Rattus norvegicus: one gene and its partners. The protein of the gene in region 3 interacts with the protein of the main gene of each other region in a biochemical or structural test. Links are inferred from orthologs where the notes say so. Each region holds a gene or a part of one and is shown on either strand. Other genes may lie near its edges.

Evidence for each region. The genes of interacting proteins can lie anywhere in the genome.
Region 1: the proteins of Ube2d1 (region 3) and Rnf125 form a complex in vitro, tested with the Homo sapiens proteins (4 studies listed by BioGRID). The link is inferred for Rattus norvegicus from reciprocal best matches to the Homo sapiens genes UBE2D1 and RNF125.
Region 2: the proteins of Ube2d1 (region 3) and Siah1 form a complex in vitro, tested with the Homo sapiens proteins (3 studies listed by BioGRID). The link is inferred for Rattus norvegicus from reciprocal best matches to the Homo sapiens genes UBE2D1 and SIAH1.

Annotation. Positions count from the first base shown.
Region 1 is NC_086036.1:12,538,488-12,542,687, forward strand, and holds part of Rnf125 (E3 ubiquitin-protein ligase RNF125), read left to right. Parts: intron 1-2,587; coding exon 2,588-2,744; intron 2,745-4,200. UniProt on the Homo sapiens protein: E3 ubiquitin-protein ligase that mediates ubiquitination and subsequent proteasomal degradation of target proteins, such as RIGI, MAVS/IPS1, IFIH1/MDA5, JAK1 and p53/TP53.
Region 2 is NC_086037.1:36,572,158-36,576,357, forward strand, and holds the end of Siah1 (E3 ubiquitin-protein ligase SIAH1), read left to right. Parts: intron 1-1,704; 5' UTR 1,705-1,706; coding exon 1,707-2,555; 3' UTR 2,556-3,616; downstream 3,617-4,200. UniProt on the Homo sapiens protein: E3 ubiquitin-protein ligase that mediates ubiquitination and subsequent proteasomal degradation of target proteins.
Region 3 is NC_086038.1:17,307,018-17,311,737, reverse strand, and holds the start of Ube2d1 (ubiquitin-conjugating enzyme E2 D1), read right to left. Parts: upstream 3,280-4,720; 5' UTR 3,183-3,279; coding exon 3,159-3,182; intron 1,859-3,158; exon of another isoform or gene 1,755-1,858; coding exon of another isoform or gene 1,752-1,754; intron 1-1,751.

The sequences.
Region 1 (4,200 bases), on a different chromosome or scaffold from region 3:
TTGGGCCTGGTTTATGATTTGAGAGAGGTCTCAAGGGCTGAGAGTGTATATATTCTCGAAGAGCACATATTGCAAGTGGTTCACATGTTCAACTGAAAATAATGTCTTTTTTCATGGTGCTCTGGATCAGTACCCAGGCTGGCCCTGAACTCGTGTGATCTTGAGTTAAGGCTGGTCCTCTGTCTACGTTCTCTCTCAGCACAGCTGAGATTATGCCCTGAGATTCCTGGCGTTTCTGAATGTCAGCTAAGTGCAGTTCCTAGCTGTTGTAGTTTTTGTTACTATTAGGAGTGTTCCCAGTTCTTCTCCAGGTTCCCTTGTATGCTTACCACTGTTTTTTCCTGTTAGGAAAGGGGTTGTATTGTAGCTCAGGCTATCCTAAAACTTTCATATGTAGCCCAGGTTGGCTGAAATCCCAAGTACTAGGATTAGAGTGGTATATTGCCGTGCTGATTTAATTTTCCCCCTCTAATTTGACAAAGAATCTCCCCCTGTTTTTATCTCACTCCTCTGCTTCCTATGCCCCATTGGCTTTTGTTTATTTATTTGTTTGCTTTTTGAGGCTAAACTAGACTGAATCTAGCTATTTACCTCAGAGTGACCTTGATTTCCCTGCCTTCACCTCCCAAGTAAAGATTAGAGTCGTGCCACCATGCCCAGCATAAAACCTCAGGTCTTACTAGACTTCGTACTTCTGCAGTCTCATATCCAGCTTCCCATAGAGTGAGCTGTCATCTACCAGGACATAAGTCGTGTAAGCAGAGAATTCAGGTTGTAGCCATTGATAATTGTATTTGGAATGTTATTTTTTTTTTCTTTTAGTTGAATGTTTGAACCATTCGTAAAAATACTCTTAAAAAGGATATACTTTCAAGGTTTTACGTGTGTCTTAGGGTTTCTATTTCTGTAAAGAAACACCATGACCAAGGCAACTCTTAAAAAGAATAACATTTAATTGGGGCTGGCTTACTGGTTCTGAGGTTCAGTCCATTATCATCCCGGTGGGAACATGGCAGCATCCAGGCAGGCATGGGGCTGGAGGAGCTGAGAGTTCTACATCTTGTTCCAAAGGCAACAGGAGAAGACTGACCCTCCTGCATGAGTGAAGCTTCAAAACCCACCCCACAGTAATGCACTTCCTTTGATAAGGCCACACCTCCTAATAGTGCCACTTCCCATGGACCAAGCACATTCCAACTACCACAACTTGGTGGCCCATCCGTTTAATTCTAGCACTTAGGAGGCAGAATCAGGTAGATATCTGTGAGTTTGAAGCCGTCCTCATCGATGTTATATGTTTCAGGCAAACCAAGAGTACACAATGAGACCCTTTCTAAAAAGCAAACAAAGAAAACAAGAATACACCTTCAGCCAGGCTTACTACTGTAATCCCCAGTAGATCCCAGGGGGTAAAGATGTTAGTGGGAAAACTGAGTCTCCCTTTTCAGATTCATTCTCATTCTTTCTCTCTCTCTCTCTCTCTCTCTCTCTCTCTCTCTCTCTCTCTCTCTCTCTCTCTCTCTCCAGGGTTTCTCTTTGTAGCCCTGGCTGTCCTGGAACTCACTTTGTAGACCAGGCTGGTCTCGAGCTCACAGACATCTACCTGCCTCTCCCTCCTGAGTGCTCGGATTAAAGGCCACCACTGCCCAACTAGATAGATATACTTATTTTTATTGTATGAGCTCTGTTTGCCACCTGCTTGCCCAGTCCCTGTGGAGATCCTAAAACATCAGATCCTAGGAAATGGAGTTAGTGGTGGCTATGAACTACCATGTAGGTGCTGGGAATTGAAACTGGGTCTTCTGCAAGAACGGCCAGTGCTATTAACCACTGAGCCATCTCTCTACACACACAACCCCTTCAGGTTCTTAGTCTCACTCATAAAAGAATTTAGACATGGGGAGAAAGTCACGCCTTTTGAGTTAGGGTCTATGTTCGGCAAGCAGCCACGCAGCAGAAGCAGAGACAGAGAGGGCCCAGAACATCAGTGAGAGCTTGAAAGAGAAGACATTACATTTTTTCTGGGTAATTCAGAGAAATGCCGACTTCCTAAGCAGCTACTCCCAGGTGGGGTTTCTGAGAGGGAAGCTACATTAAAAGTCTATCACCACAGTGATGGGACAATTATCCCACCCATCTTTTTATCTGGCTTGAGGAAATCAGACTGTCTGAGGTGATTGACAGGCCCAACTGGATTGATTAACGTTTTGGGTCTCCACACAGGGCCACAGGTAGAACTTAGAGTCTGTCTTTTTACCTGGGAGTGGTTGGATGGGCTGTAACCAAGCCCAGATACCTCGGCCTTCTTTTCTGAGAAGACTTGTGTGGTGCAGCCCTGGCTATGCTGGAACCTGTTATAAACCAGGCTGGCTTTGAACTCACAGATCTACCTGCCTTTGCTTTTGAGTGTTAGAATTAAAATGGTGGACTACCATGATTTTTTTTTAATTTTTAAATTATGTGTATGTGTGTATGTATGTATGTGTGTATGTGCCCGTATGAATAGAGGTATTCTTGTCCTCTAGAAGAACAGCATGAACTCAGGTGCTGAGCCGTATCTCTGATGTATTCTGTTTCTTTTGAGTAGGTTCTGCCGCTCTTGCATTGCAACCAGTATAAAGAACAATAATAAGTGGACATGCCCATACTGCCGCGCGTACCTTCCTTCAGAGGGAGTGCCCGCAACTGACATAGCCAAGAGGATGAAGTCAGAATACCAGAACTGTACTGAGTGTGGAACTCTGGTGAGTAACACAACCACGATTACAAGCAAAGGTTTCCAGTGAAATTACACCTTCTCCAGCTCTCCAGCTCCCCAGCTTTGGGGACAGGGTCTCATTCTGTAGCCCAGGGAGGACTTAAACTTGCTATCTCCAGATCCAGACTTGGAAGTGTCGGGGTTGCATGCAGGCCCCACCACGACGGCGCCTTTAGTATTTGTGTGTATACAGCACTGGAGGTTGAACCCAGGGCTTCCTACATGCTAGGTGCTATACCACCGAACCAGAGCCCCAGCCCTCATTTTTCTTTTGATTTTGAGACAGAGTCATTAAGTTCTCTGTGCTAGATATGAACCTATTCTGTAGCTCCACCAGCTTTTTAAACATCCTTTTTGAGACTTCAAACTCTTACTTCATTCATTTATTTTCCTATCACCATCCAGAGCTGGGAAAATAGCATTTTTAATGTGGAATTTTTTTAAAAAAGGAAAACGTACAAAAACCTGTGTGTGGGGGCTGGAGAGATGGCTCAGTGGTTAAGAGCACCCGACTGCTCTTCCAGAGGTCCTGAGTTCAATTCCCAGCAACCACATGGTGGCTCACAACCATCTCTGTAAAGAGATCCGATGCCCTCTTCTGGTGTATCTGAAGACAGCTACAGTGTACTCATATATAATAAATGAATAAATAAATCTTTAAAAAAAAAAAACCTGTGTGTGGTAAGTAGCTCTTGCCTTTAATCTCAGCATGCTGGAGGATCTGTTGCATGTTCAAGGCTAGCCCAGGATACATGGCAAGTTCCAGACCAGCCAGGGCTATGTAACAATACACTGTCACAGAACAACAAATACCCCAAACAAAAAGTCAGTCCCCAGCAGTCAAAGAGTGTGCCTACTCTCTCCCCTTGCCTCAGAGCCTGGAAACCAACTGGATATTGTCCCCCTTCCCCTGGCCCTTAAGGAGTTATTTCTGACTGAGGTAGCAGGAAGAAGATTATGGCTCTCAGCCCTCTCCTCCCCCCAGCCACACCAAGTGACTGATTAGATTTGGTTACCTGGACCTCCTCTTGCCCGGGTCCTTTTCTCCTGTTAGGCTCCTTTCAGTCTTTCCCAGTGAGCTGAATGGACCCCCTCCCTCTCTCCCTATGTCAGCCACCGCCATGGCCTTTGAGGCAAAGACACACAAGGAGCATAGAGCATCTTCTGTAACTTTGTACCCAACTCTTATCTACTAAGGCCTTTGTGCGTTTACAAATATTTATACATGTAGGAATAATCTATCATGGGCACCTGACCAGAATCTGTACATAATCTTTGGGGACAAGCATCCTGATATCCAACACTAATTCTCTCTCTTCCTGTTTCTGATTTGGCACAAGTTATTTATTTACTTTTAATTATTTATTGTGTGTGAAGGGGGCCACACATGGACAACCTTACCGTAGTTGTCTATCCAAAACGGCGTTCTCTCAGACCCTGGA
Region 2 (4,200 bases), on a different chromosome or scaffold from region 3:
TGCCCTTTGAACTTGAGAGTATTGCTTTAGTGTCAAAAGAAAAAAAAAAGTAAACTTTCAGTGCTGCTCCTGGTTTCCTTAGAGTCTGCTGCAATCTAGAATTTCAATTGTGTTGACTTGGCTATATTTGTAACCACTGTTGTTTTTGAAATGTTAAAGCCTTTGCAACAAAATGATTATAACTGGCAAGAAATGCTGTGTTTAGTGTAGTCTCAGGGAGTGTACTGTCAGGACATTGATTGCTCTTTTGTCAATTTCTGAGACAAATTATGACCTGCCAAATCCCACAGAGGCAAAGTCCTGGGGAAAGTTGTTTATTGTGTGTGACCCTCACTAGCTGGTCCTTTCTCCAGACACTCAGAAGTCTTGTGGTTAGTTACAGTGAAAGCTGTAGCCACAAGAGGGAACCCACAGGTTCAGGGAGCTCTTTGTTCAGCCCCACCCAGCGTTTGATCTTCTGTGGTTTTCTCCACTTCTTATATTCCTTCAGTCTTCAGATGAACGCACTGACTGATGGGAGACAGAAGTGATACCTGGCTGCCTTAATAAAAGACTGAGTAGACGTCTGCAGGCAGATAACAGGATGGCAGGGTTTCCTTCCCCTGTGACCTCTGAGCCCATTCCCAGAGCACAGTTCTAGTGATGATGCTGTTCATGCTGGGAAGAGTTGACCCGGCTCTAATGGTCTTTGGCATATGAACTTCATAGGACTAAAGCAGTAGGTCCTGAAGCTATGAGCAAACTCAGACTTGAGAAAAAATAGATGGAGGTGGAGACTCGGGAAAAAAGTCCAGCCCAAATAAAGTTTATATTGTAATTTAAGGTTTTCTTCTTTTAAAAAAGATTTGTTTTTATTTTATGTGAATGGGTGCTTTGCCTGCATGTCTATCTGCTCATAATATGTTTGAGTGCCCTGGCTGCCTCTAATGAGCAGCCATTTGGGTGGTGGGATTTGAACACTGGTCCTCCGGAAGACCAACCAGTGTTTTTAACTGCTAGGCCATCTCTCCAGTCTCCAGCCCTGTATTTAATTTATATTCCTCCTCTTCCCCTCCTCTTCCTCCTCTTCCTCCTCTTCCTCATCCTTTCCTCCTCCTCCTTCCTCCTTCCTTTTTTTTCTTCTTCCTTCTTTCCTTTTCTTCTGCCTCCTAAATGTTGGGAGTTAAAGGCTTGTGCCATCTTGCCCAGCTGTATTTAAGTTCTTAAGACAAAGACAGTTTTGTAGTTCTTTATTGTTTAGGAACTTTTTTGAAATTAGGTCTTCATATGTAGTCCTGCTTGGCCTGAAACTATGTATGCAGACCAGGCTGACCTCGAACTCCCTGATCCCCACCTGTATGTGTGTCTGCAGTGCAAGGGTTAAAGGTGTGGCCACAATGCCTGGTGCGATTCTTATTCTGTGTAGTCCACCCAGAGATTTCCACTGCTTTAAGAACAAAAAAGTATTTTAAACATGCTGGAGAACATTTTGGAAATACAGTTTACTCATTATATAACTCCAGAAAATTAACCTTTAGCGTTCAATTTTTATTTTATTTGTATATGGATTTAAAACTATATTTACTTAATTTTATTCTTTTATTCACGATAAATTTTGTGGTATGCTTTACAAGTATTTATGACATGTATACATACATATCTACTAATGTGTTATATTTGTAACTTTCCCCCTGCTTCCTTTTATTTTCTTGTTTTCCTTTACAGAGATGAGCCGTCAGACTGCTACAGCATTACCCACCGGCACCTCAAAGTGTCCACCATCCCAGAGGGTACCTGCCTTGACTGGCACAACTGCATCCAACAATGACTTGGCGAGTCTTTTCGAGTGTCCTGTCTGCTTTGACTATGTATTGCCACCTATTCTTCAGTGTCAGAGTGGCCATCTTGTTTGTAGCAACTGTCGCCCCAAACTTACATGTTGTCCCACCTGCCGGGGCCCGTTGGGATCCATTCGCAACTTGGCTATGGAGAAAGTGGCCAACTCCGTACTCTTCCCTTGTAAATATGCCTCTTCTGGATGTGAGATAACTCTGCCGCACACCGAAAAGGCAGAGCACGAGGAGCTCTGTGAGTTCAGGCCTTACTCCTGCCCCTGCCCTGGTGCTTCCTGTAAGTGGCAAGGCTCCTTGGATGCTGTCATGCCCCACCTGATGCATCAGCACAAGTCCATTACCACCCTGCAAGGAGAAGATATAGTTTTCCTTGCTACAGACATTAACCTTCCTGGTGCTGTTGACTGGGTGATGATGCAGTCTTGTTTTGGCTTTCATTTCATGTTAGTCTTGGAGAAACAAGAAAAATACGATGGCCATCAGCAGTTCTTTGCGATTGTACAGCTGATAGGAACACGCAAGCAAGCTGAAAATTTTGCATATCGACTTGAGCTGAATGGTCATAGGCGGCGATTGACTTGGGAAGCCACCCCTCGGTCTATTCATGAGGGAATTGCAACAGCCATCATGAATAGTGACTGCCTAGTGTTTGACACCAGCATTGCACAGCTCTTTGCAGAAAATGGCAATTTAGGCATCAATGTAACTATTTCCATGTGTTGAAACGGCAATCAAATATTTCTGGCCAGTGTTTAAAATTTGCATTTGACTTCACAGAGAATAAGGCACCCATCTGCTTGCCAACCTAAACCTCTCCTGGTAGGTAGAAGCTAGACATGAAGGTAAATAAAAAGAAAAGCTGTTAATACAGGAAACAGTTGCATGTAGTAACACTAATATATTTAAAAATAATTCAACAGTAAACCACTGAAAAATATATATACCCAAGATGGGCATCTTTTGTATTAAGAAAGGAAACATTGTAAAATATTTCTGAACTTTGTGTTTGTTGTAGATTGATTGTATTGTTGACAATTTTTTGGGGGTGTGTGTCTGTGCACGCATGCGTGCACGTGTGTGGTTGGTTTTCCTTTAACTGACAAGCCATCTGCGTGGTCATGGGCCACCGCTTTCCCCTTGTGAGTCAACACACAGTGCTGCTGTGGGGTTGTTTTTTGTTTTGTTTTTTGTTTTGTTTTTTGGTGTGTGTGTATTTGCTAATTTTTATTCTAGTTTTTCATTAAATAAATTTGACTTTCTTTTCTGTAATTCAGGTTTTTCTCACTTTTGTACCTTTTAAGTTAGCGTCTTTTTGATATCCATAATTGCTTAATGTCAGAAGTTTGTGTTCAGTACATACTTTCTTTTCCTTCAATCAATTTATTAGACATTTTTAATTCAGCCCTTCTGTGGAAATAGGAATTCCAGAAAGGAAAGGGAGCAGAGCAGCTCGTCGAGGCTGAAGCAAGTACAGGATGGTCTCGCCTCCCGACTGCTGTCCTACGCCGTCAGGTCAGGCTTACTCTCTGAAAGGTTAGCTTAGGGAGTAAACTCTGATCACTATAAATTATAAAATAATCAGGCTTTTCCTCTCTTCAAATGTCTTGGGCAAATCACATGTTTAAATTGGTTCTTGTATTTATTGGTTTTGCAAAAGAGTGCATCATCATACACAGTATTTGTAATTAAAGTAAATCATTTGTTTTTAAAAAAAGGCAGTTTGCAAAAAAATGTTTTTGGTCTTTTATAATTCTCATTAAAAGATTATCTGGCAAATTAAAAAACATTTTAATGTGTTTACTTTAGCTCTAGGTTTTTGTTTTTGTTTTTTGTTTCCCTGGAGCTGAGGACTGAATGTAGGGCCTAGCACTTGGCAGATGCTCTACCCTGAGCTACACCCTCACCCTGTGGCCCTAAGATGGATAAACTCCAAAGGTAGTTTCCTGTTCCGGTCTGTATTTTAGAGCAGAGGATTGTATGCCACTGTTTGAAGTATGTTTTATTTTAAATCACAGAAAAGACTGGACAGCTCTCCCTCCCACTTTCATTCCATTAGGACATTGGGAATATGACTAATTAATGCTGATTATTCTTTTCCTTTGTGAAAAAAGGTGAGTTATTTTATCCTTTCCTAGCTCCAGTGGTGTGGTACTGACTCTGCAGTCTGATTTTCAAGTTTCTAGGCACCAGTTTACCTCCACCCAACTTAACCATCTGTCTGACCTTGGGCCCAGTCTCCTAATGTGTAGATGGAGTTAAGTCTGGTGAGTGTGTGTACGGTTAAATGAGGACCAAGTACTTAACCTGAAACACCGCCTCATAGGACATTAGCATCCAGTGTGGGGCCCTGGACTCTGTCTTTAGTGTC
Region 3 (4,720 bases):
TGGTATTTTTTTTTCTTCAAAGCAAAGTGTACCGAGGACTGAAAAAACGGTGTTCACAGAAGAAACACCTAGAAAACAACTAACAATAGACACCCAACCAAAAGCTGCTCTCTTTTGTTGAATCCGTCGCAGGCTTCTTCCTTCAGATTTTGCTCAAACTTTATCCCTTCAGTGATTTAGACGACTGTAATAACATCTTTCTCCTGCATCTAAAAATAGGCCACGGGTGTGTAAATTTATGAGCTGAAATGCAGAACTGGCACAGGATGTCTAAATTAGAGCATTAAATCCTTTAGTCTACTCCAGCATGGGGATATATTTGAAGCGCCTCTGTCCGCACGCTTTGTAGAAAAACACAGTTTCAATTCAACAGCTTTGTTCTTTTCATAGGTGGAGAAATGAGAAGCTGCGAACATTATTCTCAAACGTGCCAAATCCTGTCTCAAGAGATTAAGCCTGAGCAAAACTCGTCTCAACTCCAGCCCCTGCTTCTGTCTTTGGACGAAGAGAACACAGGAGAACATCAGGGCTTTTGACCTTTCCATGTTAACCCCACCTCAGCTTCCAGGTCCAGCATCTTTCCACTGGCAGCCCTGGGCTCTACAGTGACTTTGCTCCCTGCCCTGGGGACTGTCTCTCTCCCTGTATTCTTTGCTACCCCACCGCCAAGCTGGGATTCCATGAACGTCAAGGGCTGATACTTTTAGGTAAAGAAATGGTGAAGTTATCACGTCATTGCTTTAAAAGATATTGAAGAAGAAAAAGAAGAAGAAGAAGAAGAAGAAGAAGAAGAAGAAGAAGAAGAAGAAGAAGAAGAAGAAGAAGAAGAAGAAGAAAAAGAAAAAGAAGAGGAGGAGGAAGAGGAGGAGGAGGGCGGTTAGAGGCTTGGGAGATGGCTCAGCAGTGAAGAACTACTCCTTCAGATGACCCAAGTTCAATTCCCAGCACCCACGTCAGACAGCTCACAACCACCTATGGCTCTGGCATCAGAATACCTGATGCTGTCTCTTACCTCTTCTAGCCTCTGTGGCCACCCCCACACATGTGGCATGTACTCACACATACACACACTAAAAACAAAAATTTTTTTAAGGCCAAAGGTTCGCATTGAACTCCATTTGTTGGACTGAACAAGATTCAAATGAGAATGGGAACACAGGATACCAGAGGGCATTGATGCAGCTCATGGGTGGCCTATTTGACCTGGACTTAGTTCTAAGCAAGATGACAGGCGAGAATGGCAGAGGACGGTAGAATCCGTTGGGGGCGAACGCGGTGGCTGGCATGTATGACTGATGATTCGTGGCAGTCAATGCGGGGAACATAGAATCATGTGACCTCCCATGTCTTCTCCACAATACCAGTTTGTCACAGATTTGCCATCAGTTGTATTTAAGGTTATCGTCATACTAGACAATTCTGTTTAACACCCAAAATCTTAAAAAAAAAAAAGAAAGAAAAAAGAAAAAAGAAAAAAGAAAAAGAAAAAGAAAAAAAAGAAAGGAAAAAAGGAAAAAGAAAGAAGGTGTGGACGTTTTCCATACTAAGTCAAATACATAAGTCAAGCTTAGCATGACCAATAAGACATACCAAGACTACACATCCAGTAATACATTCTTTCTCTGAATGGATATATTCTATAGATAATACCTATGACATCTAAGAGCTATTGTGTGTGCGCATGAGAGAGAGAGAGAGAGAGAGAGAGAGAGAGAGAGAGAGAGAGAACAAAGCCACATAGAATGCCTCACCATCACGAAAAGAAGCAAAGTTTGAAAACTTCCAAAGGGGAAACCAACAGAACATCGGCGATCAGAAGTCAGCAAGGCAATGACGGCTGCGGCTTCAAATTTAGGCTTGTTTATACGGTTAAAAATAAAGTGCAGCCACGTTATCTTCCAACGAGAAAACGTCATTATTTAATAAACGCTGATCTTACATTTTATACCAAGTTGACCTTCAGCGGTACAAAGAACAGCGACGATCTACACAGCTGATGTTCGAACCAAAAAAAGAACCCCAAAATCTGGCTGCGTGTAAAAGTTGCTGTCCTCTGTACCGAAAGATGCCTGCCGACTACCACTCTAACTCTAACTCAGAACATTTGCAGTCAAGTGTAGCTGGAAAGGTTGATAAAAACGTTTGGGGAGCCATCCATTTCTTGTGAAATCAATTACCAAACACATTATCCACTGCTTCCATTTGCTTCCAAAGCGTTCCCAAACACCCGGTTCCCAGCAGCAAGGGCTGCCGGCTGTAAAATGTTAAAAGACACTTGAGTCAGGGGACAGGCCAACAAGAGAAATGGGTGCGGTAAAGAATACAAAGAGAGGGTTGGGACAGATGCTAGGTGTTGACCCTTCGATTGTCTTCCTCATTCTCTAGTCATGCATCAAAGCATCCAAACAGTTTAATTTGTGGTCCTTAGTGTTGTGTCTTCAACTCTACATCTAAGTTTATCATGAGGATGTTTTAAAAAAAAAAAAAAAAAAAGCAACAAACAAAACCAACAACCAGCTTGGCTTGCCTCGCCTTGAATCACAGCCAGGAGGTCATCTTGCTGTGTATCAGCAACTATGTACTCGGTGCAGCTATGTGACCTGAAGTGGCAGCTGCGTGCAGAACCACCAAAATAGCAGGGGCAAGAGCTTTCTGCTGGCTCCTCCGCCCCAATCCCGCTTCCCCAACCCTTTCCTCCCACTGAGCACCATCCGACTGCAAAGCCCAGAAAGACCCAGCCCCACTCTCTGAGAATAAAGGCCGTAGGCCCACCACACCTTCCCTGTCCTCCCGGGGAGCCCGGGGTGCGAACACAGGAAGGAGGGCTCCGGGGACCTGGTAAGGACGCACGGCGTGATAGGGCACGCAGGCCGCCCGCTGCAGAGCAAGCCCCTGCCCAGCGGGGATGCACACACCCCGGGGCAATCTGGCCACCGCACCGGCACCCGCACCCGGGGTTCTAGGCTCAGCCTGGAAAGGACACGACCGGATCGGGTTGCCCCGGGTTCCAAGCACCCGGACCCTGCGCATGCACGCCTCACCTGTGCGGGCCGATCCGCACCCCGGCCTCCCTAGTGCCCGCGCCCCTCCCACGCCGTGCACCCCGAGCTCCTGGGGACCTCTCGGGGACACCCAGGCCGGTCCTAGCAGCCACTCACTTTCTGGATCCGCTTCAGCGCCATGGGGCAGGCGGCGGGGGCTGCGGCAGGTCCGCGTGTCCCGGGCTGCCGCCTCGCGGGGCTGCTCCGTGTGCGCCCGGGCGCGGTGCGCGAGTGTGCGGGCGGCGGCGCCGGGCTCTTTTGTTTCCGCCTTCGCTTGCTGGGAAGGAGCCTGCGCCCTCCCCGCCGCGCCCCGCCCGCCTGGCACACTGGGAAGTGTAGTTCCAGGCTCGGCCTCTGCCGCCCGCGCGGACGTCGTCTGGTCACCCGTGGGTGACAGCTGCGACCAGGCTGCTGCTTACTCCCTGCAGCCGCTCTGCAGAATAAGGGCCAGAATCTGCAAAAACCGGGACAGCAGGTGAGCTGTCGGCTCTTAGGAGCTGCTGTGAATCACGGGTCGCTCCTCCTCGCACAGACCCTGCAGCAGATCTTAACTTCCTTTTTAGATATTTCTGTTTCTTCTCCGCTCGCCCCCGGGAGCGTGAGGAGTCTTCGTCAATTGCACCCCACCTTATTTTTTTGAGGCAGGGTTTTCCCTTTATGTCTTTTTGTCTTCATCTCCCAAAAATGGAATTGCAGACAGCTTCCCACACAACCGACCCTTACGAGGTCTCCGGCATCCGAACTCGGGTCCTCAGGCTTGTGCAGCAAGCATTTTGCCCACTGAGGCGTCCTTCAGTCCCTTCTCAATTCCTGTGATCTCAGATTTTGCTTGTCCTTTCAACCATGTCTTCTTGGCTTGGCACCTGCAGGATGAGTTTTCGCTTTGCTCAGTCTCAGATTTCCGACGGCTTTGGTCAGTCTTAGGTTTCTGATGACTAAAGTCAATCCATTCCTTATCCGAAATGGTTTTGAGTCCCGTTTTGCTTCTCAAAACACTCACTGCCCCGGCTTCTACAGTGTCCCTGCAGCTAAATCAGCCACATCTGGGAAGTTCTCTTCTCCTGCTTTGCAGTGGTCCACAGAAGAACGACGCCACGCCCTCTGCACAAACTAGAGATGAGTTGCAGCCCAGAAAGGTCTGAGGGACTGTGCTTTGCAGAGGTCCACTCAAGCAGTCCTGCTCTGTCTGCACATCGGTCCACTTTCCTGTTCCCAGGTCCCCATCAGCTGTGGCAGGGGCCCTTTGCAGTCTTGCCTCTACTTAGCAGCGTTCTTCCGGGCGCTGTTTTTCTTACTCAGAACCAAGCCACTACCCCCACCCCCTGTGTGTGTGTGTGTGTGTGTGTGTGTGTGTGTGTGTGTGTGTGTGTGTTTGTGAAATTATTTCCCAGGAGCTGTACACCTTGTTTTTTGAGACAGGGTCACGCACAGGGACCTGAGCCTCACCCATTGGGCTGGCCTGGCGAGGAATCTGCTGTCTTTACCTGCTCGGCGTTGATTTTACACACAAGCCTCATCATCCGTACATTTGTTCATGGGCACTGGGGATGGAACTAGGGTCCTCATGCTTGCTGATCAGCACTTTATAGGCCGTGTCTTCCCACCCATTGTTGTTGTCGTTATTGTTTTATCTCCCCTCAAAAGAAGAGTGGCGTTAACATGCAATTCATCTTTTTAGC